Linked DNA regions of Daphnia pulex. The protein of the gene in region 1 purifies or fractionates together with the protein of each later gene. This does not show direct contact. Links are inferred from orthologs where the notes say so. Each region holds a gene or a part of one and is shown in the gene's direction. Other genes may lie near its edges.

Region 1 (4,339 bases):
GAAATTGGATGATGACGACGAAGAATTTGAACCTGTCAAAATCCCGGTTCGTTCGCGCCACACTCGTGCGTCGTACTTGGATAGTGATGACGACATTGCACCCGTCAAGACTACCGGTACCACGACCAGGGCGCGCTACAGTGCCGCTTCGTGTTTGGATGATGATGCTAACGGAGAACCCGTCATGAAACTAGAGGTAAATTTATTTGAGCGCTTTGTGAACCACCCACGTATTTTGCATAGCGTAGCATATCTTAAAAATAGTTTTATTCTATAGCTGATAGAATAAGCTCAAATTATTAGAAATTACCGTTGGGTTCTAAGTTTTGATTCTATAAGTTGACTACATTTTTGTTTGATCAATTAACAAACCATTAGCTCACTTTCAGGATATCGAAGAAGATTTACGCAAATTGCGTGAGGCGACTTCGTCAGTGCTCAATCGCTTCGCCACGAAGACCAACACCCAACCCTCTACTCGGTAACGAACAAATCAAATTTTCACGCAAATGAACCAGATGGTATTTAATGAATATCAATAGTTTGTCTCGTTTCTTTTCGAGCTATCTGAACGATGATAAGGATTACGAGAAGAGAAGCTCAAGTTACAGCTCTGATAGCTACAGTCCTAGCTACAGCAGCTCGTATGCCAGGCCGTCGTCGATAAAGCCGGTCGACTCTTCATCTTACGATCCGCCCGTCTACGATAAGCGCTACTCAATGTACTTGTCTAGCCGTTCCACTAACAAGGATTCGGATTTGGAAAAAGACGCAGCAGGTAAACCACATCCTCTACCAATTGTAATTTTTTTTGTTACCTGCAAATGAACTTCTTAATTACAGGAAAATCTGATCGAGGACCGATCCCGCAGGCAACAGCAGAACCGGAGTCGTATTCGAGACGTAGAACACCAAGGGCTTCAGCTTCAAGCGACGATAACAGCAAAATCAATTCACGAATTGCTGTCATGTCCAAATACATTCTTTCAAAGAATAAGACAAAAAATTAAATAAATGACAAAGACGAATACATTTTTTTTTTCATAGATGGTTCAGTCTCAGGATAAATGCCCCATTTATTCTCTCTCCTCCGAAAGAAATAATTTACCCATACATTACATGTCTGTAAAATGCTGACGTATTAGTTTAGTTCGGACTGTTTGATACGCCGAATATACTTCAGCTTATACCGTAAGTATCGCGCTAACATCCAAGCTAACTGTTTATATCGTGTACAGTTACTGTGTCTAACGTGTATGTGTTATTTGCCTCAGAAAAAATAGAAATATAAAAACTCAACAAATTCCTTGAAATACTATTGGAAATAGGATTTTCTTTTTTTGAGAGGAGGGTGTTTATTGGCTATCAAAATAATATTTAATTTCTTATTATTTACCTTTACCCTATAATATATGTCCGTTTGTTTTCTAGAAAAGCGGTTTCGATTTGAACTGAATTAAACTGAGAGACGGTGGCGAGACGGTGGCGACATCTTGCAGTAAATTTTAAAAATAAATAAAAGCAGACGACACTTTTCACAATAGTCATTATTTGCCAATTTTTCCCTCGTCCAGACACGTGTTAAAGCTCAACGGAAAAATGAGTAAAAGTAAAGTTAAATATTCATCAAGCAAGGAATACATTGATGAAAGTAGGAATGAACTCGTGCTGACAGAATTCGAAGTTCTTAATGTAATACTACATAACAGAAATCTTCCTAAGTTCAACCAAATTTAATAATAAAAATAACTATTTAGGCTGAAGCCACAGACTTCCCAGGAAATCATCATGGGTTTGACGACAGTTGGAGTTTTGAAAAGTTCAAAAAGGTTCTTCTAAGAAAAGTTCTACACTATAAGTAGATAAAAAGAGAGCATTACCATTTTTTCTGATTTTGTAGAGGCTCAAAATTAACATTGTCCGCATGGAAAATATGGAAATGGAGTTTGATTTGATTGGTGTTGATCCAGCCATACCAAATGCTTTTCGTCGTATTTTGCTGTCTGATATTCCCACCATGGCCTTCGACAAAGTCTTCATGTTCAACAATACCTCAATCATCCAAGATGAAGTCTTGGCCCACAGACTGGGACTGATACCATTGAAAGCTGACCCAAGATTGTTTGAATTCAGAGCTGAAGGTATACTCCAAACACCCATTCTTTTCTTTGTCACCTTACTTCATATAACTGAATCTTTGTTACCCCATCTCTCATTTTAGATGATGATACTGGGACTCCTGAAGATACACTTGAATTTGAGTTAAAAGTGAAATGTTCGTGGAATCCTCAAAGGACTAAAGATCATACAAATCCTGAACACTTGTACAGGGATTTCAGAGGTAAGAAGGGAAACTCAAACCTTTTTTTTTCGACAGAATGCTGACCTACTTTTTTCAGTTTTGACATCTCATTTGAAATGGATTCCACTGGGTGGCCAAAAAGATATCTTTACCCCTGATGCAGTTGGACCAGTTGACGATAACATTCTAATCGCAAAAATGAGACCTGGTCACGAACTTGACATCAAATTGCACGCAATGAAAGGGACCGGACGAGAACATGCAAAATTCTCACCCGTTGGTTAGTTTTATTGTTTTTTTTTATGATTAAGAATTTTTGGACCGAGATTTAAACAAAAACTATTTTTCTATTTTCTCAAGCTACCGCATTTTACCGTCTCCTACCACAAGTGAAACTTCTTAAGGAAGTGGAAGGTGAAGCTGCCCAAAGATTACAAAAGTGCTTTTCCCCTGGGGTTATTGATTTGGTCGACTCAGGTTTGCTACATACTATATTTTTTCTTCTAGCTTAATTAGTGTGAAGCACTACCTTTTTATTCTATTTCAGGTGAAAAGAAGGTTGCCAAAGTCAACGATGCCCGATATGACATCTGCAGCCGCAACGTATTCCGTCACGAAGATCTAAAAGAGGACACTGTAAAGCTGACCCGAGCACGCGACCATTTCATCTGTAAGTATTGTTATTGGATTTTTGCTTATTCCTTACTTTAGCGATGCATTTGAAAATGTGTTTAGTTTACATCGAGTCTACTGGAGCACTGGCGCCGGAGGTCCTCTTCACTGAAGCCGCCAAGATCCTGTCACAAAAATGCCGTGTATTTTTGGATGAATTGAAGAATGGACTGTAGGAATGGTATCCTAAATAGACGCGTTGATTCATGACGATTACGCATTATTAGTTCACCTGGAGGCGTTTGTGCCGTTGATATAGTTATCACCCAGGATTCCAGCCGAGTGACCCAGAACTGCATTTAGAAACCGAAACCGGAGCTTTTCAAACGGAAGGAAGGGAAGACTTATTTAAAAAATTTGAGGGGTGGAGGCGAGCAACTAATTCTTCCTGGTTTTACGGAAGGATACCTATCCTTTTTCATATGTTCCTTTCCATCGCTATTTTTATTTGCCTTCTGCAACAATGGCTTCTGTTTGTTTCGCTACTGGTTTTACGAAACGTTGGCGCTAGACTTGCTAGATAAGCTGTAGTAGCCTCTTATTGACCTTGGATCCTAAGGTTTTGATTGTTTTGGATGTGAACCGAGATGTTCCTCCTTCTAATGTTCTTCTTCCTTCCTTCTCACATTTTGTTTACACCGCCAATTCGTTTTAGCCCATTGTGGAATATGCGTAGGTGGTGCCAAGAAAGTCTAGGCAGATGAGATGAAGGAAATGGGAAGAAGAACAAGAAGTGTATTCTGTTTTGTTTTTTATCTCCTCTCCCTTTCTCTTTCCCTTCTTCTTCTTCCTATTTTCTTTTCTCTCTTTCTCTTAAGTCTATTTCTCATTGACCGTGGCATCTAAATTTAGTGCTCGTGGAAGCTTGTGGAAGCTTGCGAGCTTGTGGAAGAGTTTTGTTTCGGACGTAGAGCACTCGGGTCGCTTTCCATCTCCACGTTCACTACAAGTACAGTCGACGACGCACTCTGCTTGGTGGCCGGACGAAAGAAAAACCGTCTCCCTCAATCAAAAGACCCCTTTCCCCCATCTGGGCCGATCGTGAAGTTGTTAATTAGGGAGATCTTTTTTCTCATTTGGACTTGGCTGGACAACAGAAATTGGGTAAGAGAATGCCTCATATAAATTTATGCCTATGATTGTCTATTCATTTTTATTTCGGTTTTGAACCCCTATCGTTTCCTATTTTCATTCTTCGGATCCGGAGAAGACGATTACGCAATGGCAGGCTACTACTCCAGTCAACGAGGATATGGTGGCTCCTACGGTAGCTCCTATGGCGGTTCATCATCGTCGGCCTACACGTCATCCCTGCGTAGCAACTATATGCCGGTAAGTCTCCCATTATTGGGGCGGTTGAAATCC
Region 2 (2,480 bases), on another chromosome or scaffold:
TGGTTAAGGTTCTTTATGACTGGATATCTGCCTGTTGGATTCGAGTTTGCAGCTGAATTGACGTACCCTGAGCCAGAAGTGACGTCGTCTGGTTTACTGAATGCCTCCGCCCAAGTATTTGGTATCGTCTTCACAATCATCGGGGGTTGGCTCTTGAGCAACTACGGCGATTTGGTCTGTAACGGAAGTTTGTCGGCAGCACTATTTTTCGGCGCTGCTCTATCGCTGTTCATCCGTTCGGATCTCAGACGCCAAAGAGCCAACCAGATGGAAGCGTTTCGAGCAAACGAAGCTATCTAAGTGTCATCAATCGACTCTCTGAGCTTCACCAGTAAGAGCTTTGCCTGTCTCCAAGAGATGCCACATTTGCCTCACGCAATTTCGAACAAGTTGATTTGCTTATTGTTATAGATATGTAGTTAGGTAAACTTTGTGTCACTGTATTATCTGCCATTTCAAAATGTTGCTTCCTTCAATGTGATTGGCTGCTGCACAAAGTTTGCGGCTATACCGTGAATCCGTTACGACGATTTCAATGGGGGAAAAAAAAGTAAAGTGATTGATAGTTATAGACTGTATGTATACTTATATATATAGCTTATAGCCTCTCTCTTTCGGTTCCGGTCTAAAAGAGTTTACATTTCTGTGTTATTACTAATGTAGTAAAATTGCTGTCTTCCGTACAATGCAGGGAATGGAAAGCAAAGTTCAAACCCAAGTTAGCTTCATTACAGAGTATTATGCATTCGATTCTTTATGAGCCTTTGACGTTAAAGTTGTTTTCACTTTTCACCACGACCCATTTTAAACTGACCAAATCATTTGGTTTGGATGATGTGACAGTTAACAATTATTGCGCCAAATAAAATCTAATGCCACCACGTTCACGTTTTTTTTTTCACCAATAAAAAAGAAGGGTGTGAAACCCCTCCCCCGAAAAAAAAGGTGGGATCCCCATCAACTACTATCACTTTGCTATTGTGGGCTTGCCACAACATCAAATTTTATTATTTAAAAAAAAATACTTAGCTTATTTCCCAAAAGGGGTTTGGGGAGTGAATTTTATCACTGATATGAACAAAGAACAAAGTTCATGAAATAAATTACCTCTTACTATGAGTACGAGGTTATAAATTATAAATTATAAATCTTGACAACAATAAATAATTTGTTTATTTATCGGCAATTCGCAATTCGATTTGGCGCTTCGAACTTGGTCTACGTTACCACGACTTGGCAACGCTTTTTTCTAAACAGCTGACGAAAAAGCATGGGCGGAAGTATGTTGGAAAAAGGGGACGACATTAATCGAAGCAACATTTTTCAACGGGTAATTTGCGATTGTTAGAGGTAAAATTCCATCACTATGATTATTATCTAACATTCTCAAGTTACATGATGCTTGATTTCCCTTGCAGATATAAATGGTGGCATTTTAAACTCTGTATTATGGTACGAAGTTTTTGAATGAGAAGACATTGATCTTACGAAGTTATCAAAATGTTGATGTTCTGTCCCACGTGTGGAAATCTTTTGGGTGTTGAAGAAGGACCCAAGTGTTTCCGATTCTCTTGCCGTACTTGCCCTTACGTATTCAACATTAATCGAAAAGTTAGCAGCAAATCATTCCCCAAACTTAAGGAAGTGGATGATGTATTAGGAGGAGTTGCTGCCTGGGAGAATGTGGATTCCACTGAAGCAACTTGTCCCAAGTGTGACCATTCAAGAGCTTACTTTTTGCAGATGCAGACACGATCTGCAGATGAGCCTATGACCACCTTTTACAAGTGCTGCAACCACGAGTGCTCCAACCTGTGGCGTGATTAGACACAACCTGCCTTCAAACCCCCACTTTCTTTTTTTCATGTTAAACTCAACTCATTATCGCCTTTAAAATTGTCAAATGATCAACCCAGTCATCCTCCTTGGGCCCAAGAACTCCGCAGCCATCCTAAAAAATGCAGTGGAGCTTCTGAAATCGGGCAGTGTGATTGCTCTTCCAACAGACACTTTATATGGGATCGCTTGTCTGTCCCAAAGTTCAGAAGCTTTGAAAAAACTTTATCAAATCAAATCGCGAGACAAGAATAAACCGGTTGCTATTTGCGTGTCGCAAGTTAGCGAAATCGCCAAGTGGGGACACGTTACAGTAGATGAACGTCTACTGCACGACCTTTTACCTGGACCCGTCACCCTTGTGTTCGAAAGAAGTCCTGCCTTGAATCCTGAACTCAACCCCGGAACTAAACTTGTTGGCATTCGAATTCCGGACTCTTGGTTCATTCGTCAACTGGCAAATAGCTGTGCTGAACCTTTAGCGTTGACTAGCGCCAACATCAGCGGATCTCAGAGTACTCTATCGGTGGAAGAATTTCTAGGGATTTGGGAGCATCTCGGGGCTGTCTTCAACGGTGGCCCTATTCCAGACGGCTCTACCGCTCGACTAGGATCTACTGTTGTCGACTTGTCGTCACCTGGCA

Evidence for each region.
Region 2: the proteins of DNA-directed RNA polymerases I and III subunit RPAC1-like (region 1) and DNA-directed RNA polymerase III subunit RPC10-like purify together in Homo sapiens (affinity purification with mass spectrometry; 4 studies listed by BioGRID and IntAct, counting the BioPlex papers as one, with this or other methods). This does not show direct contact. The link is inferred for Daphnia pulex from reciprocal best matches to the Homo sapiens genes POLR1C and POLR3K.

Annotation. Positions count from the first base shown.
Region 1 is NC_060020.1:1,790,201-1,794,539, reverse strand, and holds DNA-directed RNA polymerases I and III subunit RPAC1-like, read left to right. Parts: upstream 1-1,535; 5' UTR 1,536-1,599; coding exon 1,600-1,692; intron 1,693-1,757; coding exon 1,758-1,829; intron 1,830-1,900; coding exon 1,901-2,141; intron 2,142-2,221; coding exon 2,222-2,341; intron 2,342-2,399; coding exon 2,400-2,582; intron 2,583-2,662; coding exon 2,663-2,779; intron 2,780-2,849; coding exon 2,850-2,972; intron 2,973-3,037; coding exon 3,038-3,150; 3' UTR 3,151-3,155; exon of another isoform or gene 3,156-3,184; intron 3,185-3,233; 3' UTR 3,234-4,068; downstream 4,069-4,339. Other genes in the region: uncharacterized protein LOC124192222, read left to right, coding at 1-196, 390-481, 543-778, 844-1,010; sodium/potassium/calcium exchanger 1-like, read left to right, coding at 4,196-4,306. UniProt on the Homo sapiens protein: DNA-dependent RNA polymerase catalyzes the transcription of DNA into RNA using the four ribonucleoside triphosphates as substrates.
Region 2 is NC_060019.1:12,453,158-12,455,637, forward strand, and holds DNA-directed RNA polymerase III subunit RPC10-like, read left to right. Parts: upstream 1-1,500; coding exon 1,501-1,827; downstream 1,828-2,480. Other genes in the region: feline leukemia virus subgroup C receptor-related protein 2-like, read left to right, coding at 9-300; yrdC domain-containing protein, mitochondrial-like, read left to right, coding at 1,904-2,480. UniProt on the Homo sapiens protein: Core component of RNA polymerase III (Pol III) which synthesizes small non-coding RNAs using the four ribonucleoside triphosphates as substrates. Can mediate Pol I proofreading of the nascent RNA transcript.